Caenorhabditis elegans: one gene and its partners. The protein of the gene in region 4 interacts with the protein of the main gene of each other region in a pairwise test. Each region holds a gene or a part of one and is shown on either strand. Other genes may lie near its edges.

The links.
Region 1: the proteins of henn-1 (region 4) and rip-1 interact in a two-hybrid assay, tested with the Caenorhabditis elegans proteins (one large-scale study listed by BioGRID).
Region 2: the proteins of henn-1 (region 4) and ddo-3 interact in a two-hybrid assay, tested with the Caenorhabditis elegans proteins (one large-scale study listed by BioGRID).
Region 3: the proteins of henn-1 (region 4) and rad-51 interact in a two-hybrid assay, tested with the Caenorhabditis elegans proteins (one large-scale study listed by BioGRID).

Annotation. Positions count from the first base shown.
Region 1 is NC_003281.10:10,253,137-10,260,452, forward strand, and holds rip-1 (RFS-1 Interacting Partner), read right to left. Parts: upstream 5,606-7,316; 5' UTR 5,601-5,605; coding exon 5,458-5,600; intron 5,116-5,457; coding exon 4,842-5,115; intron 4,792-4,841; coding exon 4,677-4,791; intron 4,176-4,676; coding exon 4,078-4,175; 3' UTR 4,037-4,077; downstream 1-4,036. Other genes in the region: Coronin-like protein cor-1, read left to right, coding at 328-534, 1,301-1,438; R01H10.4 (uncharacterized protein), read left to right, coding at 1,787-1,941, 2,524-2,721, 2,771-2,890, 3,746-4,010; BBSome complex member bbs-5, read right to left, coding at 5,736-5,972, 6,358-6,942, 7,054-7,169.
Region 2 is NC_003281.10:6,586,158-6,593,434, forward strand, and holds ddo-3 (D-aspartate oxidase 3), read left to right. Parts: upstream 1-1,706; 5' UTR 1,707-1,739; coding exon 1,740-1,782; intron 1,783-1,826; coding exon 1,827-1,927; intron 1,928-1,972; coding exon 1,973-2,583; intron 2,584-2,631; coding exon 2,632-2,752; intron 2,753-2,795; coding exon 2,796-2,897; intron 2,898-2,942; coding exon 2,943-3,116; 3' UTR 3,117-3,241; downstream 3,242-7,277. Other genes in the region: acr-21 (AcetylCholine Receptor), read left to right, coding at 1-135, 288-392; F20H11.1 (Differentially expressed in FDCP 8 homolog), read right to left, coding at 3,323-3,401, 3,449-3,621, 3,672-3,902, 4,425-4,554, 4,601-4,865, 4,968-5,124, 5,549-5,697, 5,742-6,018; let-765 (Protein strawberry notch homolog), read right to left, coding at 7,108-7,196. UniProt on the Caenorhabditis elegans protein: Selectively catalyzes the oxidative deamination of acidic amino acids. Plays a role in the egg-laying events and maturation processes of the reproductive organs.
Region 3 is NC_003282.8:10,279,880-10,288,431, forward strand, and holds rad-51 (DNA repair protein RAD51 homolog), read right to left. Parts: upstream 4,366-8,552; coding exon 4,341-4,365; intron 4,257-4,340; coding exon 4,177-4,256; intron 4,136-4,176; coding exon 3,854-4,135; intron 3,618-3,853; coding exon 3,471-3,617; intron 3,417-3,470; coding exon 3,259-3,416; intron 2,773-3,258; coding exon 2,681-2,772; intron 2,632-2,680; coding exon 2,355-2,631; intron 2,224-2,354; coding exon 2,097-2,223; 3' UTR 1,755-2,096; downstream 1-1,754. Other genes in the region: thk-1 (Thymidine kinase), read right to left, coding at 1-388, 436-549, 598-710, 1,662-1,688; ebax-1 (SWIM-type domain-containing protein), read left to right, coding at 7,127-7,186, 7,235-7,701, 7,753-8,052, 8,097-8,552.
Region 4 is NC_003281.10:8,230,687-8,238,647, reverse strand, and holds henn-1 (Small RNA 2'-O-methyltransferase), read right to left. Parts: upstream 5,998-7,961; 5' UTR 5,991-5,997; coding exon 5,949-5,990; intron 5,762-5,948; coding exon 5,310-5,761; intron 5,232-5,309; coding exon 5,097-5,231; intron 5,047-5,096; coding exon 4,692-5,046; intron 4,645-4,691; coding exon 4,531-4,644; intron 4,458-4,530; coding exon 4,357-4,457; exon of another isoform or gene 4,307-4,356; coding exon 4,177-4,306; 3' UTR 4,037-4,176; downstream 1-4,036. Other genes in the region: tsp-1 (Tetraspanin-1), read left to right, coding at 1-152, 200-265, 306-509; tsp-2 (TetraSPanin family), read left to right, coding at 775-837, 927-1,061, 1,109-1,372, 1,422-1,664; C02F5.5 (uncharacterized protein), read right to left, coding at 1,791-1,907, 1,988-2,302, 2,347-2,436; C02F5.14 (MBL fold metallo-hydrolase), read left to right, coding at 3,190-3,195, 3,653-3,885, 3,947-4,031; F-box/LRR-repeat protein fbxl-1, read right to left, coding at 6,508-6,536, 6,823-6,901, 7,290-7,790, 7,840-7,961. UniProt on the Caenorhabditis elegans protein: Methyltransferase that adds a 2'-O-methyl group at the 3'-end of PIWI-interacting RNAs (piRNAs) and small interfering RNAs (siRNAs) which are classes of regulatory RNAs that are involved in gene silencing in endogenous RNA interference (RNAi) pathways.

The DNA of each region.
Region 1 (7,316 bases), 2.0 Mb from region 4:
TTTTGAAACTTCTAGGCCACCAAGTGCTCGCACGTGGCCTAGGAAATCCAAATTTCTCAATGTGAATTTTTCTAGCTCATGTGTATTCAATTTGCGGCCTAGGATTTTCAACTAACAAAAACTGCACATTCATTACTCAATTTTGATTGAAAACCTTGCCAAAATCAATTTTCAAAAGTTCTAGGCCACCAACTGGGCTCTCGTGGCCTAGGGATTTTGCCGATCGCTTCTTTTGAACTAAATTATTTAAAAAAAAACTAATGCTAATGATCCCCACTTCTCCAAAAAAGCACCATCCTATCACTTTCACCTTTTCCATTTTTCCAGGTTCAACTGAAATCCCGTGCCGCCCGTGATGAGCCCGGAGGCGGTGCTCAAACTGCCGGTCAGAGAAGAGCCGCCGCCGAGTTGGAAAGGATCAAGAGAGATCAGTCAAGAACCGCCGATGAGGACAACACTCTAGCTCCACCTCCATCTTCTTCCCGAGCTTCTGCATCGCCACGTGGCAGTGTATCAGCTGCGTCTGACGTAGGGGCACGTGTTTTTTACTGTGCTTACCAACTAAAATGTTGTTTTTCTAGAAAACAAAAACACGTTGACTTTTAACCAATTAGTAAGAAAATTAACAATTTTTGTGGGCCGTGGCCGAGTTTCCAGCAATAAGAATTGGGAACTTACAAATTAAATTTTAATTAAAACAAGCTTTGAAAAATTTCAGTTTAGTGTTTTACTTTAATTTTATTAAAAAAATGTCAAGCAACGTTTTTTTCTAATTTTCAAAAAATAACTATAAAATATGTTTTTCAAAAATAGAAATAAAATTCGAAAAACCAATTTTCCAAATTCATTAACATCAACTGAAATCTTTAAACGCCACGGCCTAGAAATCGAATTCTAGGCCATGAAAAGCCCCACCGTAGCCTAGGATTTTCCCACTACTAAAATGTACATTCTAATATGTTGTTATTGTTTTTGTGTTTTATAATAATATTCGTTTTTCTTCCAAAAATTGGACCGACATATTAAAAATTCAAATTTTTTATTTTCTAGGCCACCAGTAATACTATCGTGACCTAGATTTTGAGAATTTAATTTTTATCCAATTTTGCCCTTTTTATTTTCTAACGAAAAATTAATTATTCAAAAAGTTTTCTTATCCAAAAACGGGTGGCCTAACTTTTCTAAAGGCCCCAGAAAGCCAGGCAACTCCAAAATCCCTTTTTTGTTTCAAAATTTACAAAGGTGTTATAGTGAAAATTCTTGTATAATTTAAAAATTAATTTAAATAAAAAATTTCCAGCACGTGCCTCAGAACATGGATGAGCTTTTGGAAGATCTGATGAAAATGAAAGCTGTGCTTCGGCAACACGAACGTCGCATTCGGATGCTCGAAGAGGAGATTGCTGATCGTAATATGAGCAATGCTTATTCTTTTTGAACATGTTTAATTTTTTGAAAGAAAACTTTTTTTTCGAAAAAAAAAATTTCAAAAAAAATATCGATAATTTTTTATTTGTTTGTTTGTAAAAAGTGTGTTGTATTGTATTGCAACCTAATAAATGGTAACTTTTTCATTTCTCTTTTTTTTATTTTTCATCTATCACTTCCCGGGATTCCGGTTTCTCCCCCTCCCCACAGTGTCCCGAGGAGGCTACGCCGCCTCCACACTTTCGATTCCGACACCCGATTCAGGCGCGAATTTCCCTTATCTTTTCTTCTCGCTTATCAACTACACAAATCCACAATCATCTCAGTCTGATATAATCCTTATAAACTTTCCAAAAATATGGTCCCTCGTTTTCTAGTATTCTCAGTTTTGGCTTCACTTGCAACTGGACCACCGACTGCTGACGCTTTCTTGGCTTCGGCGTTCTCGTCGGTATCTCAGGCGGGAAAAACAGCAAATTGTCATGATTGGAGTGAATATGGACCTTGTTTCAGGTGATTTTTAGGAGAAAAACCAACATTTTTGGTGGGGAGGGTCGTGGGCTCCCATGCAGTTTTAAAAAATTCGCTTGTCCAAAGCTTTTTTTCCCGTATATTTAAGAAACTCTAAACTATCAACAAAATCTATTACATAAGGCGGCAATCATGACGTAACAGCTGAAAAATCGGTGGCCGAATTTTCTCTATGACGGTCCCGTTTTGTTTGTAAATTCCTATTTTTCAAAATTGCTACAAAATTTTTTTTTCAATTTCCAAAATCAATTTTTGAAAACTTTTCTTCTTTAAAGATATTGATATCACGTTTTTCTTATCATTTGACCTTATCATTAAAATATCACCTGAATCTTTAACATAGGTCGACGCTTACCACGGGGTCGCGGGCAGAGAAAACTCGGTCAAGCTCAAGAAATTTGAAAATCATAGCAATTAAACCGTCCATGTAAAAAATAATCAATGAAACCAAGATGTTGGAAATTGTTTTTTTTTCATTTAAAAATCTTCCCTCGTACATAAATCAACACCCACAATGTCAACACATTTTAATGGCCTAGTTTTCCACTGCTCTTCCATTTTCAGCACTGCAGACCGATCATTCTGGCGTACGCTTCCCCAGCAATGCTACCAAAACCGTTACATGTCCCTCATCACAGGAATCGGTAACCCAATCGTTCAGAAAGTGATGGACTACGCGGAGCTCTTCAACAAATCGGCGACGGCATGCGGAATGTGCAATGTTCAAGTCGCGTGTTCACCCAGATGTGATTATGTAGCTGGGTAAGGGTGACAATTGCAACACGCACAACAATAAACAATTCATATTTAGAGGCAATTCAATCGGTGTTGTCGACCGGATTTGTGATCTTCCAACCGAGAAACAGGCGTGCGCAATGACTCCACAGGCATTTGACGAGGACACTGGACTTTGTAGAGTATGGCCACCGAGGTGAACTTTTCATTTTTTTGGTTTTTTGGTTTTTTGAATGTGGAGTAGCCAGGCCAGTGGGGGAAAATATAAAAATCGCAAAAACTTCAAAGTTTTTTGAATAACTTTTATTGACAGTCAAAAAGTGACATCTACTAAGTTTTTTCCACTTTTTGAGAAAATTAATATTTGGAGTATAAGTGAACCATATAATCGAAGGAACACTTTTTTATCGAAGACTTCCAAAAAAGTGGCAAAAACTGAGGTGTTTCACAATTTTCAAAAAATTATATAAAATTTATAACTTTTTTCGAGTTTATCTTAATAAAACACTCCGAAAAATTTTAGTCATACAAAAGGGCAAAGTTGGCAAAGTAGGTAAAGTGCCAAAATTTCAAAAAATTTGACTTTTTGAGAACGTTCGACCAGTCACGCAGATTTGAACCCCTACAATGTTTATTTACAAATTTTTTAAACAATTTTAAAACTAGAGAGTTGTAGAAAAAATACCATTTTTTGATCGAGTTCCAAAATTGCCAAATTGCCATTTTTTGACTGCGTTAAAAATATTTCCAAAATTGTTTACTATCGTATTTAGCCTTTTTAGATCTTAAAAAAGCCATTGGAAATTTTTTTGATCTTTAAATCTTTAAATTTTCCTTTCTTTCTAATTAAAATTTCGAAAATATAGATACCTAGGTTGAAATGGATTTTTTAATAGTCGAGAATTTAGCTGAAATTGTTGTATTCTTTTTAAAGTAAAAAACTTCGCTATTGTTCAATTAAAAAAATACCAAAAAAGTGTGTCAAGACAATTTTTATAATGGTGGACGAGAAAAAACTGAACCCCTAAAATTAATTTTTTTTAAATTCCAGACATACTACAGCCGTGGATTTCCTTGGTGCAATTGTCCCACCAACAATTCGAGATCAAGTATGGTCCTTAAAACCGCTAAGCTGCATCAGTATAAGCGGAAAATGTTATTGTTGCTGTGCTCCGTATACTCCAAATCCATGTGATGCTCAATGCACACTTCATCCATGTTCCCGGCGGCAAACATTTTCAAAGACTCAAGTCAAGATTTTGAGGCGAAAATGGCTTCAGAAACAAGAGGAGCGACGTGAGGAAGAGGAAGAGTGATTTAATTTAAATGAAAAAATCAATAATAAATTTTGAAAATTCATTTAATAAAAACCTTAATAAAAGTCTAAAAACAATTTGAAAATTTTTCTTCGTTTCCATCAAACAATAGCACATTCTTTGTGTAGATTGATGCGACTCGCTTGAGCTTTTCCAGGAATTCTTCTGAAAATTTTTTAAAGTTTTAAGGTACTTTCCAGAATATATTTTCTGAATTTGGAAAATATAGAAAACTCACTTTAAAAGAATCTGGTAATTTTAAATGGGTCAAGGCTGAATCTGAGAATCCTAGGCCACCATAGAACGAGTGGTGGCCTAGAATTTTTCAGATCTAAGAATTTGGTAATTTCTTAGACCTCGGCGTTGTTCAGTGTCACAAGTGTTTTCAGGAAATTTGCAAAATTACGTATTTTCCTGGGAATAAAAAAAATTACAGCAGATTCCTGGAGTGAGTCAAAAACCCTAGGCCACGGTAGTACGCGAGGTGGCCTAGCATTTTCAGTAAGTTTTCAATAAGTTTTATTCAAAACACATCGAATAAAACTTATTGAAGTTTATTTACGATTGGAAAAACACTAAACACACTATTCGAAAATGTTAGGCCATGGTTTACATAGTTTCAATTTGATTGAAAATTTTTATTTCGGCCGGCCACTTTTTGTTTACCTTGAGTTTGAGTTTCGCGAGGCTCATTACTCAATTCCTTTGGATTTTCCACGATTTCTTCCTCCAGAAAATTCGCATTCTCAAATGGATCAGATTCCTCAACTCCTTCCTGCTTCTAAAACCATTATCAGTTATAGTTTATAGTTTGTAGTCTACAATCATTACCTCATCATCATTATCATCTCTCAAATCAATCACGACGACCGCGCGGCCGTCATCTACATTACAAAAATTGGCGAGTGCGGCGAGAAGGCAACCGAGTTCCGGGCAGTCCTGCGGGATGCTCATTGAGCAGAAAATCGCTGCGACTTCAGAGCCGATGCTTGCTTTGAGCGCTATGTCGATACATCCTTGCAGAAGCTTCTTGGAACTGTAACCAAAGCGAATTCTTCGCAGAGCGCCAGCTTTCATCGAGAACTCCACGTCGATTTCAGGGATTCTGAAAATGAAATTTGAAGTTTCCCTATCACCGAAAAACGAATTGTTTCAGTCAAGTTTTGAGTCACTACCCGCTATGGAGATCAATTCTGTATAATTTAAAAAATCAAGTGGCCGAGTTTTTCCCCATTTCGCGACCACATATTATCATATATGTTACGAACCACGTGGTATTAGGCTGTCCCATTACGGATTGATCTACAAAAAATGCGGGATTTTTTCCTAAAAATGTGACGTCATCACACTCTTAACCATGCGAATTCAGTTGAGAAGTCTGCGTCTAAGCTCCCGCGATTCTCGTAGATCAAACCTACATGGGACATCCTGACACCACGTGACAAACCTCTCCAACGCTTTCCGTCTCGCCCAGAAAATCGTATCATCCGGATTCTGGTCCGCCCAGCGGATTGCCTTGGCAAATAGGTGATCATCGATTTTCGGGGAATCAGTAAAAACTACCGTTAGGGAATTGCACGATTCTGACATTCTGGAATTGATCTACTCTGAGTGTGGCCTAGAATTTCACAAATATGTACACGTAAAAATTACGGCAACTGAATTTGATATAACAAAATGTTAGTTCTCCAAATAAATATATTCATCTTCAGAAAAAAAAAAACGTTATACATCAACATGAATATTCCAAAGATCATGAAGAGTGAATCCGTTACGAATCGGTTCAATCGCCAATCCCAACTCGGGGTTGAGCACCGGTAGCTGCTTCTCGTCAGTCGCGGTGTGCTCCCCGTCAAAGTATGAAGCAAACGCGTCGGGACGGATTTTATCGTCGATTTCTACGTCATCTTCGTTGTTGTCTATGATGTCGATTTCATCGTCGTCCTTGCGGGGCTCTACTTTCTGTAAATGTTTGGTTTTATTTGAACGTTGCAAAATTTTCTAATTTTGCTGAATCATAGGTCAACTTTTGCTGAGTGATCACTTTTATAAGGTGTGGGAGCGAAATTTTGAAAAGGGTCGAAAAAATTGAGCATTGTGGTTTTTGAGGCAACATCCAAAGTTCAGGGAAAGTTCCGCTCACGGCAGTTCAAGTAAGTAGGGTACTGTAGTTTAGGGTAGGATCCTACGTATTGTAGAAACTATAAATTATATAGCCTATAGGACGAGTTCCAAAAAGCCTTTATTTGAAAAATCTGAAGATGATTCTTCATTGAATCATGTAGTAAGGTGCACTAAAACAACATAATGCTAGGAAAGTCGGTGACGTTTTTCATTTTAAAAATACCTCGGCAATCTCCTTGACATACGAAACTCCAAAGATTGGCTTCAACAAATGCGCCTTATGAAGTGATTGTACAGTTTTCAGAAGATTTTGTAGACGTTCAGCAGGATCAACTCTGAATCCCAACACGTACTCTCCGCTGCTGGTAGTTGTCTCAAGAACCAGCGCCATTCCAAACTTGGACTCTCTAACTCTGACTGAATATAGAGTAATGTAGGGGACCGAAACATTGTATCCGATGTTCATCTCTGCGTACCAAACGACACGAATATTCGTGATCACAAAGACTCCGAGACTTCCAGTCTCCGTCGACAGATTCCAGACACCGTTCACCTTCTCGATGATCGTCTCTTGTGGAAGGATCTTCAGAGTTCCGTCCTCACGAATAAACACCCCGCGCATTTTGAGCTCTCTGTACATTTTGGTGGTCTCGTAGGCTCTGCTGATTGATGAGATCGTATTGAAAAGTTTCGAATGAGATGCAGGATTTGTGGTGGTGAAGATGAACTCAAATTTTGTAGTGGTCGCCGAGACTTTGGCAAGTACGTAGATTGCTTCATTGGATATACCACGGTTTCTTGTGACTAGCTGAAACTTTTTTCTTGGAAGTTAAAAAAAGATTATGAGTTTTGATAGGTGGCCGCGAAAAGTAAAACTAGGCCATCGATTTTTCGTTGCGAATTCGACAGTAGAACCCACCGAAGTAGTCTGTTTGCTCTGTACTCCGGTGATCGCATTCCACCCAATCGTGATATTGATCCGAGGCATTGAGGCGGCATGCCAGATTAGGCGTAAGTTGGTGACTCGCATCGTTCCTGAAAGTGTGTCAATTTTTCAAAAAAAAAATCGCGCTTCTTTCAATTTTTCTCTAGTCTAGAGTTTGTAAAGTATGGGCGACCCTAAAAAGAAACGATGCAAATCTGCAAATCGGCAATTGCCGAAAAATTGCCGGAATTGAGGGA
Region 2 (7,277 bases), 1.6 Mb from region 4:
CAACAGCCAATGGTCGATGAATTTGAAAAAGAGTTCTTGAGGGTTATGTCAATGGTTCACGGAATTATTGAAAGAAATGAAATGAGAGTTGCTGAAAAGGATAAACGAGATGCAATTGCTCTCGAATGGCAACAGGTACATTTTTTATAGTTGAGGCGTGTTTTACGATTGGAAAAGCTTCAAAATAAATACATAACAGTTTAGATTTTCGTATTAAAAAAAGATACTCAAACTTTCCGATTCTTGCATTTGTCAACTATATATGATTTATAAAATATAATTTTTAGGTTGCAATGGTGCTCGATCGCTTCCTGCTTGTGGTGTTTCTCATAGGCACATCAATGTCGACATTTGTAATATTGAATCAGCGAAATCTTTTTGAATCTACATAATGACGGGTTAATCAATAAATTCATTTGTATATCTCCCAAACAATATCCAACTGAAAGTAGTTTTAGCTGGTGCTACTGAGCAATTTGAAAAATCGTTCCGAAAAAAGAAGGAAAACCTAGTGATTCAAATTTTGCAGTTGGAAATGATAATCATTTCCATTTTCAATTTTAAAATGATGATCTTTCTAGAAAATTTGAAATATTAATTTGATCGTATGCATTCATTTAGAATTGAATTTTTTAAGAAATAATTTTTACCAAAATTGAAATTGACAGTGTATATTGAAAAGGAAGTAATGAAGAATCATGTCATGAAAGAAGTTCACAAGAGTTCCTGCGAAATCAAGCAGCAGCTAACGCCTTATTTAGTTTGTGGCAGATCTCCGAAACGTCTCGGCAATTCACCAACTTCCCACCAACTAGCAATGATTTACCTAATTTATCCAACTTAAATTGATTGGCATAGCACATAGCAAAAGTCACTAAAGTAGCCCCCCCCCCCCCTCAATAGTTGAGGCATTTTGCCGAGGTCATACCAATTATGAAGTTCCGAACACCAGAAAGAGGTAATGAAACCAAAAGTCGTGATTTTATTTGATATGCTCTCTAGCATAAAAATAATACATTTTGCAGTGCCTACATAATTAAACGGCTCTACATATGTGTTGCATTTATTGAAGCATCTTATATTAGGTCGGCAAATAATTATTGACGTATGTTGCCATTTTACGATTTTTTGTAAATTTTATATATGTGAGTTATAGTAGGCAGTGAGCATATGAAAGCATATGAAGTTCATCTACTTTGGTCATCTGCGTAGTATTAAGATTTGAAAAAATCGAAAATTTAAAAAAAAATTTTTCCGTGATTTTTTGAGTTAGCCGTTAAAAACTTGAATACTCAGAGTTCGCTTTGTCTTTATTTTGTGCTTATGAAATTATCTTAATCTTTTCCTTCTAAAAGGCAACCTCATGACCTCATGTGTTTCATGTTTTTTCAATAAATTCCGATTTTGACACTCCCAAAGTCCATCTACTCTAATTCGATTAAATGGTGATGACAAAGAAACGAAAAGGGAACACTTTTTCATACGTTTCCCTAGATTCACTGAACATTTTGCTTTCCCCTACAGAACTTGAAAGTTTAGCCAACAGATTTCAAAAGATCAAATTTTCGTAAAAATGTGCTTTTTGTGCTCCTCATGATCAGATTCCGTTACTTTTTGATTTAAAACTGAAATCTAAGTGCATTCCTATCCCACGGATTTCCACAGCTCCTCCTCTTTCTTTTTTTCAATACAATTTGATCATTTTTATCTTTATACATACATATTTAATCGCAGGTGGTATGCTGTATGCTCTTCTTCTCCTCTTTGGAGGAGTTTCAACAGGTTTGATAATGTTCAGACTTTTTCAGTTATCCTTTTATTTTCAGTGAGCTCGTTACGAGTTGCTGTTGTTGGAGAAGGCGTCATTGGTTTGAGCACAGCTACAGCAATTCTTGATTTGGCAGAAAAGAGGAACATTCCCGCTCCAGTAAGTTAAATTTGAAAGTCACAGGTGTTCAAAGTTGTGTTTCAGGAAATCCACATTTTCCATCACAAACCTTTTGAAAAAATTCTCAGTCGCCACATCGCTGGTCTCTTCCGAATCGATAGTGGATCAGAGATCGATAGAAAATATGGTTACGATACATTTGAAAAGTTGGCAACTCTCTGGAGAGAATACGGTGGTCTAAGTGGTGTACAACTAGTCTCTGGGCACATATTATCAGATTCCAAGACAAAGTTGGATTCACAACGTGAATCGTATGGAAGCCTCGTGTACAACTACCGGGATCTCGCCGAGCCGGAGCTTTTCGGTCCAACGTCGCTTTTTGATCTACCAAGAAACACGACAACTCGTGGAATTCATTACACTGCTTACACGTCTGAAGGTCTTCGCTTTTGCCCATTTTTGAAAAAAGAATTAATGACAAAAGGAGTTCGATTCACTCAACGGAGAATTGGAAACTTAGAGGAACTTGGTGCAGAATTTGATGTTGTTGTTAATTCAGCTGGACTTCTTGGTGGAGTTCTAGCAGGTGATGATGCAGGGAACATGAAGCCAATTCGTGGAGTGCTCATCCGAGTTGATGCACCATGGCAGAAACATTTCCTCTACAGAGACTTTTCTACAATTACAATTCCGGTGTAAGCTTTGCTTTTCTTATTGTTTTTCAAATTTTTAAGATCTTTCAGTATCGACCATGTCTACATGGGAACTGTGAAACAAGAAGGAGCATTTGGGCCAAACAATGTGACATCTGCAGATATCCAGGATATCACTAGCCGTTATGTGGCATTGCAACCATCTTTCAAGGTGGGTTAAATATTACAAATTAGAAGCTAGAAAATAATTCCAGCGTGTTCACATGCTTTCATCATTCGTTGGATATCGTCCAGGTCGCAAGCAAGTTCGTGTCGAGAAGCAGATTCGAGAGACCAACGGATCCAAGAAGTTTACGGTAATGAAGATTTTGATGCATCTAAAATTCTGATATTCCTTCCAGGTCGTCCATAACTACGGTCATAGTGGAAACGGATTCACACTTGGATACGGTAGTGCAGTTCATGCCGCCCATATCGTTCTCGATTTGCCACTGGATGCTTATCACGGACTTGTCCCAGAACCTCTTCCCATTAATGCAACGATTTCCGAATGGGTTAAATATCTTGATGATTAGGGTAATGGCACTTGTAATTGAAAGTCATAAACAATTTATTCTAATTTTGAATGTTGTCTGTTTATCTTTAGGAAAAAAGTCCAAACACAAATGTTCAAGTTAACAATAAAAATATTTTATTTTATTTTACAGTATTAGACAATATTTAAGGCACTCAATTATTACAATAGTAGGGGAATGTGGTTTTTAAATGGAATTTTTTGAAATTAATTTCTCACTGCTTCCTTCTCATCACTTGAACTCAATGTTTTCGGGATCTCAGTTCGTTTTCGACGTCGTTCACATCTGCAAATATACCAAATTCAAAACTGGTCTACTGTGGATTACTGTACCTTGGACAATTTAAACTTTTCCTTTCGAAGCATTTCTTATGGTAGACTGCAAGACACGTGGCACATGACCGTGTATTTTCAGTAAATGGATATAGGATTTTATTTTTCTGATCTACGTTGATGTCGTCGCAAAGTTCGCAGAAGAATCCATTTCCAGCACAAGTCTCACATTCCTTAATTTTTAAAATTAAAATTTCAATAATAATCTCCAAAAACCAAACACCTCTTCAATATGCTTTCTAAAAACTGTATGGATCTGTTCCAAATCGGGTAACAACGTGCCATCGCACAGCTCACGGAGTTCTTTCGGTGAATACATGACAGAGTTATCGACAAAATGTGAGTGAGCATTGAGGTACTGTAGGATTCGGAGACGTCTTGCCGTACGGCAACTAACAAAGTAACACTTCATCAGAAGAAAGTTTCGACGCAGTTCGTTTACTCGGCGTAGTTCCTGAAAACTGTCAGTTGAAAATGTATATTTCTTCAATTTTATTTGCTGTGGGCAAATATCTGTCACTTGGCACAGCCAATGTTTTAACTGCAACTTCGCGTCATGGCGCCGTTCGGGGGTATAGCTCAGTGGTAGAGCGCTCCCTTAGCATGGGACACAGGTGATTCGCGAGTACGAGTTTTATGCTTCATCCGAGGTTCGCGCGTGCTTCGAATGGGTACTTGAAAACATGAGCAAAAATGGAGAAAAATGCTCGTCTTTGCGAACGAACGCGAGCATAAAGGAGGCATTGCGAAAACAATTTATGCTTCTTTTTTTTCACTTATATCAGCTGAAAAAGTTCAAAATATAACTTCAGTTCTTGTATAAGCCACCCCCACTACCCGAAGACATGATTAAGCCACCTCAAGACATTTTCGCAAACACGAGCATTGTGTGCGTCGAAGCATTTTGCTTACACTGCGAATCACCTGTGGGAGAGGGTTGGGGTTCAATTCCCCATACCTCCAGAATCTTTTTTACCTTATGAAATTTTATGAGCGAAAGTGTTGACTCGTTTATATCGATTAACGGTCGGTGGTCTATGATTGCAAGTAATTGCTTGACGGCTCGGCAGACAGGTCGTGGTGTTGAGTCGAGATTGTGGACTATTCTAAAGAAATTTAATAATTTAGGTGTTCTTAAAGCTGAGATCTTACCTGGCAGGAATGCTCCAAACATCATTCCAGTGACAATTTGGGCAAAAAAGCTCTCCACTGTAATCACAAAGACGTGCTTCTTGTTCAGCAACTCCATCAAAGCAAATCGGTGCAGTACATTCAGCACATTGATATTCCTGCTCCGCGAGGCTTCGTTCCTCACACAAATTTGTGTTTAATTCGAATTTTGCTCGAGTTGACAGAACTCCGGCACACACTCGTTTCACCTCTTCCGCGCATTTGTCATGAGCACGCATTCCACAAACTGTAAAAGATTACTGTAATTCAGGATTGAAATGTTTCGATTTTTTCGTGATTTTGGCAAAATATTTTTTTTACTTCGAACGAAGTTAAAGTCTATCAATACCTCTGCATCGCCTCCACCATTGCACGAGCCTCCAAATTGTGTGCATACAAACTTCACAACATGGATTATGTCCACCTCTAACTGGTTGCATTACAAATTCATGTCCTTCAGCACGGCACTCGTCTAATGGAGATGACGTTGAAACAACAGCTTCATCCTGAAAACTTTCACTCTAAATTGGAAAATATAAAAACCATACAGCGTCGAAATAAATTAATTTATGTACTATTCATGGAGTTTTTGATGCACTTGGCCCCTGACGCAAAATTTTGCGGCAAAAACACAGTGCCCGGTCTCGACACGACAAACTGTATTAAATTCGAAAATGCGTGCGCCTTTAAAGATTACTGTAGTTTCAAACTTTCGTTGCTGCAAAATTTTTTCTTACGAATTGCTAAATTTATGAGTGATTTTTTTTCGAATACAATATCGATGAAAATTGTGCAGACAAAATTTTTAACCTACAGTACTCTTTAAAGGCGCACACCTTTCTGCATGTGCAAAAAAAACAATTTCTCCAGACCGGGTACCGTATAAAATAACAAAATTTTGCCTTTAAACCATATTCACTGTCTTCATACCTGCAAAGCCTGCCTCTCCAGTCCCAATTGTACAATTTTGTCGAAATACATTTGTTGTCGAGCTGCTTTTTGTTGCCTATCAAGACAATTCACAAGATTTCCAAGAACATCACGATCCTCCGGGAACTCTGTGTTAGAGACAATGTTGACTGTAATATTGCACATTTTTTACATAAAAATAGGAAACACCAACTAGGTTTCGTCTTTGTCTCTTTCCCATCCATTTCTGTATCTTCTTCATCTATGAGCAGTTCCTTTAGTTTATCTCTACAGTACTCCAATGCAGCTTTTATGCATTCCACGTGGTTTTCTGCTTCATTGCTGCGTCTCCAATCATCCATCATCTCTTGAACTTCTTTATCAATCTCATTTTCATCAATTTTTGAAATAAGCCAAGATGATTTACGGGAACGTGTGGAAGGAGTTGAAGATTGATTATGAGCATCTTCTGATGAACACCAAGAAGACATCTAAAATTTTAAGTCTTTTTGCAATTTTCTTTTTTTTTGTGATTCTCTAGCCAAAAATAATGTGTTACTATGAAAAATCGGCAGAAACGAGTTTGAAATTACAGTACTCTTTAAAGGCACATATCTTCTCGCATAAAAGAGAAATTGTCGTGTCAAGACCGAGTACTGCATTTTTTGCTCAAAATTGCAAAATTTCGAGTCTGGTCAATCAGAAATTTTGAAAAAAAAAACAATTAATTTTGTTTTTTTCTCTATATTATCTTCGTTATACGGAATTGCAATTTTATCAAACTATCTAGAAAAAAAGTATGATTGAAATTGATAAATCTCGACAATTCCAAACAATTCGTTAAATTCATCAACAATTCATTTTATTACACGTCTCAAATAACACAAATGTATCGAAAGGGAAAAAAAGAAAAAAAAAGATCCAGGTAGACCTCGAGAAAAATTCAATTTTTGGACGATTTATTTTTTTTCCATTTTCCCATCAAATTTTCCAGGTCAAACTGATAAATGGTTGGCAGTTTTGAGTTTATGTTCTTATCAAAATTGACCTTGAAACCTGGTGAAATTGATGGGAAGGATCGACCGGCCAAAAATTGAGGAAAAAGATGAAAAATGTATTGAATTGTAAGAGAAAACATGTGTTAAAGCTAGTGAACTCCAAAGGAAAAATGGGGAGGCCTGTTCCGAAATAAAACTTGTCAAAGAATTGTTTTAAAAATTCCTGTAAACCAGAAAATTGGGAAATGGAAGAAAGGGAGAGGAAAATGGAAAATTAAGCCAAAATTAATACAATTAGAAAAGTTATGATAATGATGAGAAGAAAGAGAAACAATGTGGAGAAAATAATTATAACAAATGTTGGTGGGAATTGAAAACTTTAAAAAACAATTCTCAGCGGGAAAGATGAAATGGGAAATTGAAGAAAACCAGATATTCGGTGAAGAAAAATGACAAAAAAGAGAGAATGTGTGGTATCTGCAGATATATATCTGTACTGAAAATGGATAACAAAATGGGAATCTAAAAAAAAAATAAACTGAAAAAAGAAAACCAAATATTTGGAGAGAAAACTGATATCGATCAGGGTTCAGTTTTCACGTAACTACGACCACAATGTGTTTCGAGTTGCTGCACCAAATGGCGGACGTGTGTGGGCAGGACGAGAAGGCCTGAATGATTTATTGATTGGTTTTTATTGTGGGAATAATAGTAGCGTTCAGAAATTATATTCGAAAATGTCTGCGCTCAAT
Region 3 (8,552 bases), on a different chromosome or scaffold from region 4:
TTCTTCGCTCTTTTGAACATAACATTCTCTGCAGAGAGCTGTATAAGTGTCCGAACCTCCGATCACCTCAACCTTTTTGTCCAATGTGCTGCGGAATGAGAAGTTTGCTTGCGATCCGCATTCGACACATACAGCGGTAACTTGCTTGATTTCATTCGCGTACGGAAGTAGCAAAGAAATTTGTGGGAACGGCTTTCTCTCGAATGTTCCATTGAGTGCAGCGACACAAACAACTTTCCCTCTTTGAGCAAGTTCTTCGCAAGTTTCGGCGAGATCTTCAAAGAACTGTCCCTCGTCAATCGAAACGACTTGAACCTCATCGTTGAAGATCTGAGATTGAACTTCAGAGAGACGATGAGCCTTGACAGTCCGTCCCTGGCCAGTCATCCTGAAATGATATTCAATGCTTTACAGTTTTAGGCTTGATCTACCAACTTGCTATGAGTAGCCACGAGATCGGCATCGTAACGAGTGTCTCCTGCATACTTGACAAGAACACATGTTCTTTTTGCAATTATCTGACGATCATGAAGACGAAGAAGTTCGGTGCTGAAAATAATATTGTTATGATCACTCTAAATTTAAAAATAAACACACGTTTTGCCACTGAACATTGGCCCCAGAATAACAGTGATAGAGCCAACACGATTCGGGCATCTGGGCAAAGTGTTGAAATCTGATAGAGATGAATTGGACGAGCAGCAAGTCATCTGAAAACACAAGTTTAGAAAAACTATTGTTTAAGAAACACTCATGATTCTAAAAATATATAGCTAAATGCGGCATCACATAAACAACGCATAGAACAAGTTAACCATCTTGTTTTTACTAGATCATTGGCTAGCGCCGATTGAGACGAAAATGTATGCAGAGTGTGGAAGAACTGGGGGCCCCGGGAGAAGCAAGCATCAAAATGGCCTGCTACAGAAAAAGGATTGCAGTCAGCTTTTCCGCGTTTTGAGATGAGCGTTGCGGAACCGGTCGCCGTCTACGACCGCCTTTTGCCATTGCAGATGAATATAGAAGTTGGTGTCCGAACGGAACGAACGGAGAAAATGGAGGGACGAAGGGCGGGGAGATATAGAACAAAAATAAGTGAAATTGTTGTTCGTTCTGTATTCTTAATTTTGCATGATAAAAAATGAATAGATGATTTTAGAAGTCTGGCATTGCACAAAATATATTTCGAGCAGTGAAAGAGCAAAAGGAAAACATATAAAATGTCTCGATCTACCATACTAAAGCGGAAAATGTAGAATCAGAAAATAAATTTTTGGCTCAACACGATATACAGTTAAAAATAAACTAGTATATCATAAATAAGTGAACTTTCTTATCAGGAGCCAATTAGTCATCTCTGACGTACAAATATTAACAATAAATTTCAAAACCTAAATAAGAATAGTAAAGATCAAAAGAGGGCAAGATCATGTTGAGTAATTTGAATGAGACGATGACAACAGGCAAGGGTCACACAGCTGTTCAGCAAATGTGCTGTGACCGTCGGTATTGCATAATAAGAATCGCTTTTGAGAGCATAAGTACGGACAGTTGGGTATTTTCAGGCAATTTTCAAGGTTTTTTGTTGTTGCCGGAATTTTACAAAGCAAAAATTCCACTCCACATTTTGCGAATAGGCAAATTAGAGATAATCATCTTACCTCATTCTTGGCCGCTTCAATGTCCATTTCAGTTAGTTGGATCTGGAATTATTGCTAGGTTAACATGATGAACACGCATTTTTAAAATACAGTATTAAAGGTTTCGAAAACCTTTATAAATTAAAAAGAACATTAGCTTATCAATACTGACATAATCAGTTCAACTATACGATTCATACAAAACGACGGGTAAAACAAAAGAGAGAGAGAGAGATGCACAAACCTATATATAATACAGATACAAAAAAGGAATGTAACGGAATAGTGAAACATGAGGGGCAGGCGAAAACTTTTCATAGAGAACATAGAACGCTAGATTTAAAAACGACCCAAATAAACATGATGAATCCGTGAAAGTGTGGAGAGAAACAGAAATGTGATATATTTATCGGGATATGAATGATGAAGTTTGATAAGAAAAAGAAAAACGAACGGCTAGTCCTCGCGTGCGTCCTCAATACCATGATTCGTGATTGAGTAGGTCGCTTCGGCTTCTGGTAAATTGGGTGATTGAACCATTTTTGCGACGCGATTCTCTCCTTTTCCTTTTCGAAGGTACAATCTGAAAATATGAATAACTTAATTTTTCTTCTTTAAAAAATCCTCAAAAAGACCACATGTAATGTTTAATAAAAAAATTAAATATGTTCTCTATTTGTTCAAAATCTTCAGAAAACCTCCAACTATGTTTACCTGGTAGTAGACATGTGAGCGATGATGTGACCTCCAATGGGCTTTTTAGCATCAGCCTGGAACATCGAGGCTCCTCCGTCGACTTGTGCTACAACTTGATTGGTAATAATTACAGCGACACCATATTCATCGGCAAGCTTGGCAAGGCATTTCAGAAAAGCAGAGAGCTTCATCTGACGTTCCGCTAGATCTCCTCTTCCAGTGTATTCGTTACGGAAATGAGCAGTTGCACAGTCAACAATCACAACAGCATAACGACTCTCGGACATCATTGCTCCTATGGCACGAAAAAGTTTATTTTTTTATTTTTTGAAATTTAGATTTACCTGCTCGAATAATCAAAGCCATCAAATGTTCTGAGTTGTATGCACGTGCAACAGCGATATTCTCGAGTACATGAGCACTGTCCATATTGTATCTGCAAGAAATTACTTCGATATTCAAAAAAATGCTACAAGATCCATAATAAGGTAAATTCTCAAATGCCAAAATTCAAGCCATGTGGCGTAAACCAGTAATTGTACAAAATGAGCCATTGCGACTTGTTCTCCAAACGTTTTTATTTCAAACTTAGTGATAGAATATAGAGAAATATTTACTTTATCTGAAAAAAAAAACTTATATTTGTTGAAACAATAAGGAAAAGGCTAAAAAATTGCCTGCAAGTTGAAATTCGCCAAAAAAAGACCCGGAACATCTCTGAAAGTTCATTTACGGCAATTTCCAACTTGCAGACCATTTTTGGCCTTTTCAATTGTTCAAGCAAAAATAACAGCTATTTTCAGACTGAGAAAATATGTTACTGATTTCTCGAAATAAATTTTAATTTTTTTTTAAATTTTCAAGTCGGGAGATCAAATTATGACAAATTCAGGATTTTTAAGAATAATTCTCAATCACAAACCTCTGAGCGATAGCAATAATTCGTTCGGGTCGAAAAGTGGCATTGGTATCAATATACATACATTTTCCCTCACCACCTCCCATATCAATCGGCAATTGACACAAGACTGCCAGACTGTGGCAAAGCTGAGTTTTTCCTGTTCTATATTCTCCGTAAACCTGAAATAAATGTTTTATTGAGTACTGTTGTCAGTTTATCCGTGATAAACTCACCTCAGTGATACTGCCTGTTTCGATACCGCCACCCAACAGTCTGTCAAGTGAAGCAGATCCAGTTCTGATCTGCACCAGCTGGCTTCGCTTCACATGAACCTCGGCTCCCGTCGTGAATCCCATCTGCACGAATTTCATGGCTTCTTTCTGAAATTAAATCATTGAAATATGAGGCCGATGTCTACATGTTCACAGCTGGTCGATTTGCCGTCAAAACTGACCTTGCAGCTGATCGTTTCATTCTTTTTCGGAGCTAACCTCGAAAAATGTATCAACTTTTCTGATACTTTCAATTCAATTAATTGGATTTTGAAAAATAAAGCCACAGAATTTTTAGTTTTTTTCTTTAATTCTCGAATAAGCTGATTTTTTGATATGCTCACCATTATCTTTTCAGCTTTCTGATCACTAATTCCTTTGACATTTCGGAGTTCGCGTCTTGTAGTAAATGCCAGCGATTCGTATGTATAGTATCCAGCTTCTTTTAGTTTTGAAATATCGCCAGAACTGATTCCTGAAGACTCAAGTTTATCGATAACTGTGAAGTTTTCATCTTGCTCCATCGCATTATCCTCGATTGCTGCATTGAGCAAAGCTTGATCAGCTGCACGCTGCTCTTGATCCGATTTCTTTTGACGACTTGCTTGAGCTGACATTTTTGACTCCTGAGATAATTTTAATTAATTATTTTTAAGTTAAAACATACAATTGGAAGGAAAAGATTTATTGAATGCAAATTCAAATTATATAGCCATTTATGTGTACATAGTGAACGTTTCGCAATCCCTAAAATCGGCATTTTTAACAGTGGAGCTTTTTTTTTCAAAAATTATGCTACACATTTACCTAAACTTATTTTTAAAATGTTACCTTCATATCCCCAAGATTGTCCCATAATCAATAGCAAAAGCTTTCTCTAGAGCAACAAAAATTGAGAAAAACATGGCCTAGAGACACGTGCCAAGTCCTTCCTCGAGCCCCCGTTCGCTTGACGAAAACAAGAACTTTCATGTTTTTCACAAGTTAGAACTGCTTTTGCTGCTCTACTATTTTTGTCGTCAACTACTGATTTATAACAGGATTAAGTCCACATATTTCTAGGCGTCAAGTTGAACGAACATATTTTCGAATTTAAGAATCACAATTTATGATTTATAGGTTTTTATTAAGGGTTTTCTTAGATAGATTTTCGTTTTAGAATAGAAAACATGGAAATTTAAATGCAAGTAAAACTGGCAGTAAATACAGAATTCTCAATTTTCAAAGTAGCGCCATTTGAAATTTTTTTTTCCGCTTTTTCGATGGCGCGCACTTGCTGTACTCTTGTTCAACACCTCGCCCTCCCGTCTCGTCCACTGCCGCTCGCGTGTGTGAAAGGCACCGATAGGAACGGGCCAGGGAAAAGGAAAAAGTGTAGAAAAAGACGATGCGCAGACATACAGCAAGGAGGGTCAGTGGACGCAATGGGGAAAAGAGAAGGAAGAGGACACCCAAATGTCTACTATGTACATTGTGTCCGAACCATTTTAAAACCAAAACTGGACATTAACCTTATCTTTTGCCCTTTTGAGCTTAATTTTTATATCACTTTTCTGCCTTAAAGCATTATTTTTTAAAGTACTATTCGTTTTTCAATCACTCGAACTATTAAATCTTTAAAACATTTTTTCTTGCAAGATTCTATGATTTTTGAATACTATTACTTATTAATTTATTAATACTTAGCTTAAATTTATATAATAATTTTTTATCTTGAAAATTGTTTTTCGTTGATTGAAAATTATATTTCAAATTTAGAATTGTTCGCAATTAAAAACGGGTAAAGCATGAAATATATTTCAGAAATCGAACAAAAATCAGGCTTTTTATTTTCCGAATATCAATTTCAAGCGTTAACCGAAGCGTTGTTATTTAATGACAAAAAATTTTGTTCATTTTAGGTTTTCATTCAAGAAAAGGAAGCAAAATTTAGCATAGCTGAAGACTTTTAATTAGTTTAACTCAAAAGCTACGAGAATAATCAAAAATTTAATAAAAAACCGCGCAAATCATTAGAGGATAATTAAGTTTTAAAACTAAAATGACAAAAAATGACAAAAGAAACAATGAGAAATCAAAACATGTTTCCTCCGTAAATCGACATTGAGTACTGTAGCGATTGGTCTCGCAGCGATGTTAATTTTCTTCTGTACTCCTCTCGGATAAATTTTATTATTATTGAACATGCGTATTAAATCGTTCATTGAACGGAAAATGGAGAGAATCGCAAGAAAAAAAATTATGATGAAAGTGCAAATAATTTAGAAAGGCTATGACACAGGTGATTCGCCGTTATAAAATACTTATGGCCACCAGTATTTTAGATGCAATTTGCAAATCGCTAATCTCGCTGCGGGACCACCAACATTCTAGCAATATATTGCTAATTGCGACTTTTAGTGCAAAATATTTGCTTCATCATATTGCTGATGCCTCAACTACATTCCATAAATATTTAAAAAACCGCGAAACACATGTGTATCTACTGATAAACTACATAAAGAAGTGAAATTTGTTAATAAAATCTTTGCATGAGAATTGTAACTAACTAGGGTAATTGATTTCATTTGGGCTTAAAATTAAACTCAACACATGATGAGTGAACAATTGGGATCGAAGTTTAGATCTAGAGGTTTTCCATCTATAAGTGAGCCGGTTACTAGTGCGATCAGAAGTTGTGAATTTGAAAAAATGTTTTTGATTAATATTAATTTCTCCACCAATTAGTTTCCTTTCAAACTTTTTGTCTTTTCTTCTAATGATCCAATTCCGTATTTTAGCCTACTTTCTGAAAAGTTCAGAAAATCTTTTTGAACTCCTTCTATTTCCTGTATTATGTTTCTAAATTTTTTTGGATTTTTTTTTGAATTACTGGAATGGAGATGTTTTAATAGGTCATTTACATGGTTATGTACAAATATTTTGACCAAATTATGTATTTACTGGGCAATATCACCTCTTTCAATAGGATTCTTTCTTTGTCCTCAAACTTTTCAATTTATGAGACAGAACTGACTGATTGTAATTTTATACCCAACTATGCAAATAGTCAATTCAATCATCTTAATTTATGTGCCAGTGATTCAAAAAAAATTCCAAAAAAATTTCGAATAAATTTTCGAATTGAAAATTTTAACATTACTTTGACCAGAAAGTTTGAAATTTTTTTTTTCAAAATTTTTATTTTGAAAACGTCTTAAAATGTTACCATGTTTATAACGCTTATTAAAAAAAAGATAAGACCTGAAAAAAACTCTTCTGAGTCATTTTATGAATCATTGATTTTTGTGAGAAAATGGCCTGAAGGGAACTTTAGATCTACTTTTTTTTGATTCAAAGTGTCCGCAAGCAGCTAAACTTTTCGTAGTGACTTTTTTTTGGAAAATGTTCTTTCAAATGAAATATGCTTCATTTCAAAGTCCATTAATACGTTGAAATACTTTCCTTGTAAGTTGAAAACTGAAGGTGTATCTTTAAAAATAAACAGCTTCTTGGGTGTTTGTTGTTTCCTAATAAATCTCTTAGATTTCTATGAATCCCTCAAATAAACATTTATTTTTTTCCAGACTTTCGTGTTCTACTCGTGAGTCCACTTCACACCTGCAAACGTTGGTGGTATGCTGCCAAATGCAGTGGGCAACAATGTATGGAACGGCCGCGATGATGTCTCATTTGAGGTTTGATTAATATTGAATATTATGATAATTAAAATAAATATCTTTTAGGATTCTGAGAGATTTGAGGAGGACTCACAAGTTTCACTAGACGAATCACTTGATGGAAATAGTCAGAATTGGAGAGGATGGACAGATTGTCAATCAAATTGTGAAGCAATCCAACCTGGACTTTCTTGTGTTGTTTACCAGCATTACAGTGCATCAGGACGGTTTTCCTCAGCATCAACAAGAACAGTGGTACCCGGGGATCCAAACAATCCATTGAGTCAACATCCAATGATGTCAAGAGGAGATGATTCAATTGGAACTCTGCTCACATTATCGGAAATTTCTGCAAGAGTTTGTGCGGAAAAATGGTCGTTTCAGCAACTTGAAGAAATGTACTCTCATATATGTACTTCGAGAGCAGAGAAACTTGCAATGCCTCCACCAATCTCCACTATTCCTGAGAAGATTTTTCTTTCATTTATAGTTCATTGTTTCCCACAATCTACTGATGAAATTCGAATGTATAGGTTAGTTATTTGCTTCCTTTTTGACAAAATATTTAAATTCTTATTTTTCAGTACTCTTGCCAACGGGTCATCTGAGCAATATGAACTTGGAAAAACCATATATGAATGGGGAAATGTTCGAGATGTCTCACAAACTGGTTTTCTACTCAGTGGTAACATCAGTAACTCAACGCATCCAGATACCCGTCCAATTCAATATGATGATAATTCATCTTTCCATGTAACAGTGAAAGTAGACAGATGTCGGATTGTCGAATGCACCTGTGAATGCTCGAATCGTTCTAGTTGGTGCAAACATGTGGTGGCATTGTCCATCTATCGAATTTACGAAAGGAGCAATATAAAATTCAAGTAAGCACGTACAAATCTCAAAAGATTCTAATTTCATTTTTCAGGGAAACCATAGCCGACGCAATCAATTCAATGAGTGATTTTGATCTTCGACGACTTGTTCAATGGCATATCAATGAGATTCCACGCAAATGTATTCCCGGGTTCCAAAAATTAATTGATCAAATCAAGGATCCACATTCAAATATAAACAATCTCCATGGAGCTCCCGACCCAACGGATGGTGGACATGATCCAGTCTCTCGTTACGATTTCCCAGAAATCGAAAGCAAAATTCGGAGACTTCTGATCAAATATTGTGTGCCAGCTCCCTCTGTTCATTGTGATATACAGTATCTCACCGCAACTCATCATCCTACTCATATTGAGTGGACAACCATGATTAAACCTCTTCGATGTCGTGATCCAGAAGGAATGTGGAATTTATTACAAATGATTCGAGAAATGTTTGCAAGAAACGATGAAAACGCTGTGGCACTGTTGAGAACTGTGACTGATGA
Region 4 (7,961 bases):
TCGTACTGATCATAGTTCTAGTTTCACTAGAAATTGGATGTGGAGTGGCTGTTCTTGTAAGAAGAAATTCATTGCATGATAATACAAACAGTTTGATTGATGCTATGTATACTACAAACTCAGTCAATGATTTGAAGATTATTCAGGATAAGGTGGGCTCTGAAAAATTAGGAATTTTTAATAATGCATTAATTTTCAGTACAACTGTTGCGGTATCGAGAACTCACTATTCAACGTTATGTATTGCGGTCCAATGTCCCAAAAGGTATTGAATTTTCATAAACTTAATATTTCAATTTTTTCAGCCTCATTGTGATGTGGCAGTGTTTGATAGTGTGGATAACACTATGATGATATCTGGAATCATACTTCTTGTTATTCTGATCCTTCAAACTATTGCTATCATTCTTCCAGTTCCCATATTGATTTCAAGGAAGAAAACCTACAAGTACAGTTACGAGCCAAGAGTAACCCAACTTGCGGACATCACCGAAGACACTCGTTTTTAAAGACGAACTACAGTACCCTTGTCATTCATTTGTTCTGAATCATTCCACACGTTGTAATGTGTCCTGATTACATGTCAATTTCATTACTGTAATTATAGTCTTGTTGTTATCTACGGGTTAATCATTGAGTAAACATTTCTTATCTTATTTCGTAACATCATTTTTTTATAACTCCACCCCGTATTTTACGGTCAAAATGATATAACTGACGAGTTTTGTATACCTTTTGATAATATTAAAACATCTCGGAAGAATTTAGATCGGAATGACGTCAAGGATTGCCTTTATTTCAAGGATCACAATATTCTGTTTGAGTCTTGCAATGCTGGTGGGTTACTGTACTTTCTCACTTTTTTGAAAGTCTTTCTGATTTTAATTTGTTTCTATGTGACGACTAGAGCTCTATTTAATTTTCAGTTTTGCTCAATCGGACTAGATATCTGGGGTTCTCTGATGGAGGATAAATCGTATGAACGTGATCTCAAAGATGTAGTTTTCAATTACAATTCATCTCAACCTTTGGCAGATGATAAATTCGACATGAGATCTTGGGTCAGTTATCACAGATAAAACATTTACAAACAAAGCCAGCTTTTCAGATTTATTCAGTCTACTGGAGCATTTACGGGCTTTGCATTATAGCCGGTCCCCTGTCCATAATTGGATTAATTGGAGCAATTAGCCAAAAGAAGCCTGTACTAGCCACATGTCTAGTTCTAATAGTCATATTCTTTATAATGGAGCTCGGTGGAAGTATTGCTCTTTGGTCGAAGCGTGGAAGTCTTCGGAGTCTTCTTTATCGTTTTGCAAATGATATTTATTTGACAAACTCTGTTTTTGATATTTCCATAATTCAAAACACGGTAGGCCAGTAGATAACTCATTATCCACTGAAATCGAAAACATTTTCAGTATAATTGCTGTGGAGTTCAAGATGGGCAATGGAAATGTCCAAATGCTCCTTCATGTGATATTGCTCTATTCAATAGTGTTGATAATACAATGATGATTTCTGGAATTATCTTGATTCCCGTACTGTTACTTCAAATTGTCATCATTGGTGCTGCCGTCTTGGTTTTAGTATTTGAACCCAGAAATGTGCTGAGGAAGATAGAAGCACAACATGAGAATCCTGCATGGGAATCTTCGGAATAAAAAATTCTCATTAATGGCCCTGTACGTAGCAGTATTAAAAAATGTTTTGGATAAAAACAGATAATACACAAAAATCAGCAACTTTCACGTTTATTCAATGCAGATAGTCCATGGGAACAAAAGAGATCACTTCTTGTCAAAAACACTGTCTTGAACCATATTCAAAATTTGATAATTTTGATCGTACGAATCAGCTACAGCTTTCTTGTTTTCTGGAGCTTTGATACAGAATCCATTTCTCACCTGGAAAAATAATCAAGATATGAGCAGTCCTGTAGATTATCTTGCTGTTATCCTGAAATCTAAATAACTAGAATCATTACCTCGTAAGCTTCAATACCGAGTTGTCCGATTGAAGCGAGAACATGAACCAACACGAACAACGAGAAGAATGCATGACCTGATACGCACAGGAACACAAAAACTGCAGCAAGAGCTGGAATCCCGACAAGAGCAGCTGCTTTTCCACGAGTCTCATTGTCTCCGGATCCGGTGATCTTTTTAATTTCATCACGACCATCGATGTTCTGTTGAAGATTGAAACCAGAAACTGCAGCAGAAGCACCAAGGAACACGAGATAGAAGAGTTTTGCAAGAACATTACTATCTCCAAGTGAACCTAAGAGCACCATCATAAGCTGAAAATGTTTTCTTTGGAATTAAATATAAGTAAACCACAAACCTCAAAAGATGAGCATGCAAGAACGGCACATCTGGTTCCAAACACGTACTTGTAGTACTCGTAAGGTGGGATTTGTTCCATATACGACATTGATGGAGAGAATTTGAGATGCTAATGGAGGATCGATTTACGAATAATAAAACAATTTGAATCCTATGGTTAAATACGCTTACAAATGACCCTAAGGTTTTTTGTGCCACGGTGAAAAAGGAAAAGGTCAAGTGTATTTTAAATTGTAAATAAAAGTTCATCCTTTTGATATTTGTATTAATTTGGAATTTAAAAAATATGAACTCGAAAAGTGTTTGTTTCTTTGGTTTCTTATTAATCAAAAATCCCAACTTTCTCTAACACTTGTTTGTATATTTGTGTTGTCATAAGTGAAAGAAAATTCAACTTTTCAGAATAGTCTCTAGACTATAGTCTTTGAAATGTGATTTACCAAAAACCCTTGGTTCGTGAAATGTTTGCCACATAAACTGAAATTTGAAAAACTGAGAACCTGTCCTCTGAATTATGTGTTTACGCGTTGACCTTGAAAAGAAAAGAAGGCGTCCGGGATTATGTGCTGTGTTCAGAAAAACCAAATGCCAAAAAGTATTTATTTAAATAAATGTTTTCAAAAACTTCGATCACTACAGTATCTTTGGCAGAGAAATGTCGGATGAAACCGAGAGAAAACAATCTTCCAAAAATCCGGTGATTTGACCATAAACTCCGCCTACTTTCACTTGTTTGGCCTTGTTAAAAAGCGTCGCAAACCGAACAATTTCTGATATCAAATACGAGAAATTTTCGTCTCGGTTTGATTGGTTTCGATCCAGTATTTTATATCTCCGAGAAATGAAGGTATGTTTTAATTTGTTTCGATTGAGAATTGAGATGTTGCAAAGAGATTGTTTTAGACCTATTATTATTAAATTTCGATGAGTTTGAGAAATTTTTAGTTTTGGCCCTCAAAACACGGTGGAGGGTCTCGACACGACTAATTTTTGTTTATTGCGAAAAAGTGTGTTCCTTATAAGATTACTGTAATCTCAAACTCTCGCTGCTGCAGAATTTGAATGGGGGTTCCATGGCTTTTCGCACAATTTTTACAAAATTGGTGTGCTTTTTATTGTCATATTTGAGTCTCTGACCTAATTAATGTGTTTCCGCTGCAACGGAAGTTACAATTACAGTACTCTTCAAAGACGCGTACTTTCTTGCATTTCAACAAAATTAAGTAGTAACGAGACCGGATACCGTACTTTTGAGGGAATAATCGTAGAATTTCGCGTTTTGGTAAATAATAGCATTCATTCAGTATATCACTGCATCCATACTTCTGTCTTCATTTCTCTTAACATCTTGTACTTTGGAGCATATGTTCGAAGATGATATTAGTGACACATTTGTACCAAAAGTAAGAGGAGATGGAGATGTTATTATTTTGGATCTTTCAAATATCGATCATGCAAATGGAGCTGAAATTCCACGAAACTTGACTGAAGAGGATACGAAAATTATTCCAACCCATATTGATTTTGCAGCTCTGAAGTAGGTCGTATTCTGGAAAAGTGTTTGGAGCAATAAAAAATATTCCAGTGGTTATTTTCAGAGAAGCGTATGCAAAGGAAAACAAAGCTGAACGATTTTTACCGTCCCGTTTGTTTTTTGGAGATGATGATACTGATAAGAAGTGACACATTTTAAATAACCCATTTATGAACTTAAAATTGTATTATCCATGTAGAACATCGCATTCGGAAGTGAATAATAAAAAACATAAAGCTGATGAAAAATACGCGGTTAAACATCAATGAATGAGGAGAAAATAAATATGCAATTTTAAAGTGTATTATCTTGAACCGTTTTGATGAGCTCTTCCTTTGAATGCATTTGTAAAATGACAATACCATTAAAACCGTGTGAATATTCGGCATGAACTTTGCGACTGGTCATTCCTTGAATGTATTTTCTGAAAATAAGATTTAAAATTCAACTGTTCCGATTACTGAAGAAACTTGCATTGCTACTTTTTCATCAATAGTGAGAGCAAAGCTGACCGGCGCTTTCAGATGATGAAGAATGTTTTGGACATTAAAAATCCAATAAGGAGAGTAGCCGTCCTGAAATTATGCTAATATTGTGAAATGTTTAAAAATAGTATATCTACAGTTATCTGAATAATTTGTTACCTACCGTTCTCGGTTCGTGCTCTTGAAGCTCAATCTTTTCCAACCAATCCAAAAAAGCTTCTTTCACAAGATTATAAGCAATCAATCGGGATCCCAATCTGCACGGCAAGTGCCCAACCTGAGAAAATAAAAATCTAATTAAACAATATTTAATAATTTAGGAACCATTTCGTATGGTGTAACTTCTTGCGGAAGAGTTGTGTTGAGATCTACTTGGAGGCGACATACTGCAGCCTGAGAAGCACCACTGAGATTCTCGTAGCCACGTGTCATTCCGATGTAATGTGGTGGATCGATTTGATAATGCGGAAAACGAATTGAAAGCTCTTCCAGCCAATTCGAGAACTCTTTCCTATTCATCTCAAATTTATGATCGCCATGTCGAAACTCGCCAGGCTCCATTCCAAATACTGCATTATATTCATGATTTGGCGTAGAAAAAATGAAAATGCGTGGCATCAAAGTCCCCAGAACATTTTCGACAAATTTTTTCGCATTTGGAAGAGGGATGTGTTCAACGCTGAAATAATTTACGTATTATCGATTGGTGGAAAATTTTTAAATTCTCACACTTCCATTGAGACGATCGCATCAACATCGGCAAAGCGATGATCTGGTTCAAGAATATCTCCGACATATGATCGCATCAGCACTGGAAGTCCTGTTTCCACAGCTAAGATCTCTGCATTACGTTCCAAATGTTTTCTTAAAAAAATAGATTCAGCTTTACTTCAAAAGTAATATATTTATGGGAAATCTAAAATGAGATGTAGCTCAACTCACCCCAGCAACTGTTGTCCAATAGACAACGAAGGCTCATCAATATCGACAGAAAGAACATTGATAGTTCCAAAAGATCCAAGATATTCACATATTCCTTTCTCCAACGACATTTCTCCACATCCCATCACAGCAAGTCGGCTGATATCAATTTGAGAAGATCTTTTGAATTCCATCAGAGTATTCTTAACGAATGAGTTTCTTTGAACTTGAAGTGGTGGTTGAAAAAAGTTCTTTCTCTGCTCATGATCATCAGTATCCGATTCATCCGTTGCGATATTATAAATGGAATCTCTCCATTCTTCATCGTTATTTTTCTTATTTTTTCTATCATTTGGATCCTGATGGTTTTTGAACTTTGGACGAAACTCTTCAACATTTGCCGTTTCAAGAATACGATCAAGTGGCTCCAAAAGTGCAATTTCCAGTTGTTCGTAAGCTTCGACGTAGGTTTGCTTAAAATTTGGAAACTACGTCGGTAATATTGGAATAATGTATTGGGATTTTTTTTGGTAAAATCTAAACTTATGCTTTTTTTTCAAACTTAAAACAAAAAATTTCTGGTCCGAATATGTTTTTCTGTGACGAAATATTTGCAAATCATGTTTAACTTTTTACTTTTTCTTCTATCAATTGACGTACATTATCATATGGAGCTCCCCATCCATCGCTGGTGTGCGCCATTTCTAATCTGGAATATTATTTCAATGAATAATCCAGATTTGAAGAAATAAAAAGTGTAGAAAATAACAAGAACTGACGCGTTGATGAATTTGTAAAGAGGGCAAGTATTTTATTCTTGACAGAAAAAGAAAATAATTTCGAATTGAAAAAAAATGTACAGTCATGAGAAAAGCAGACGCCGAAGAAAAACAAAACGTATTCATAAAATTCTATGGAGCGTGTTTACACCGATTTCCCTTTGGAAACAATTTCAACAAATTTACCAGTAGCTACAGTAGGATCAGGATAGAAACGAAGGAATACAAAAAATAGCGGGCAATAGATGAAGAATTTCCAAGAAACAATATAAATCTACTGAATAGTTAAGCTTCAAAATTTCAGAACATTTTTAATTGAATACCAAAGTTGTGCCTCAACCCGGTGAGCGCACGGTGCCCTGTTGATGTCAGACTTCGTCAATTTCGTCAGTTTGTACCAGTTTTCTGTAGATCGCGTAGAACAGGGCACATAGATGCAGTCATAAGATAACACAGCATCTACATATACCTGAAAAATAAATAATTGAGCAATAGATGAATGAATTGAAATCTAATAAGTAGTATTAAGTCTAGAGATTCACGCAATTTTGTTAGATTCGTGTGTCAACCAGCCACACCATGCCTTCAGTTTGTTTCTTTTTACATACCTTTTGAGACCGGGTGTGCCTGATTGTATTCGATAAATTGAAAGAGATGTGTGCAAGTTGAAAGTGTTTGTGTGAAGAGAGAAAAATGGATAATTACCATGCGAATATTATATATATATTCGCGGGCTCTTTTTTAAAACAACATACCACCGCGGTTTACGACCTGATCCGTTGGTGGAGTGACCGGTGCAAAATAGGCATGAATTTCGATGTTTGGGCGATGATGCTGAAATAGGAGAACATGTAATAAATACGGTAACCGGTCTCGGCACGACAATTTTTTGCTATGTGCAAAAAGTGTGCGCCTTTGTACTGTCGTTTAATTTTTTTTGTTATATTTAAGTTTTAAAAATAAATTATTTTATTTTCGTCGAGAAACTATGAAAAACCACGAAAATTCCGCAGAAACGAACGTTTGAAATTACAGTACTCTTTAAAGGCGCACACCTCTTTGCATTTAACAAAAAATTGTCGTGTCGAGACCGGGTACTGTATTTTTTGCCCGAAAATTGCAAATTTTTTCTGGGTAATATTAAAAAAAAAATAGATTTCAGAGATGTTTTTGATTTTTTAATAAAATCGTATTTAAGTTTGTAATATGAAATATAACATACCTGAAATCGAACGATTGCTTCTTTTGAAACATTTTGGCAATCATACAAATCAATTCTCTTGAGAGCTTTGCAATGTCTCAGATGAGATAACGTGGAATCAGTTAACTGCGGGCAATTGTCAAGTTCCAGAACATTCAACGTTTCACGGTGTTTCGAGGCTAAATTCTGAATCGACTCGTCCGTAATAAGTTCGCAATGTGAAAGACTGAGCTCACGAAGAGCCGTACAGTTGTTTGCAAGTGAGTTGATAGTGTGATCAGAAATTAGGGAACAATCTTCCATATCAAGTCGTTCCAATTGACGACATCCTCTGGCAAGTGGAATAAATCCATTATCTCCGAGAAGTGTGCATCCAGATAATTCCAGTACTTTCAAATTATGAGAATGTTGTCCAAGAGATACCAATGATCTATCAGATATTTGATTGCAATTTGACATGCACAGATATTCCAAAGCGGTAGCTCCATTTGCAATATTTTGAACTGTAATATCGGTGAGCTGCTGAAAACAGTAATTATCGAAAATTGTTTCATTTAAAATGTTTGCTTACGAAGCATTGCAGAAGATTCAGTTTCTTGATAGCTCCCATGTGAGCTTCGACAGATCCGAACACATTCTCAGTAAGTCCTTCACAACCACGAAGGATCAGAGTATCGAGTGACTTGCAATTTG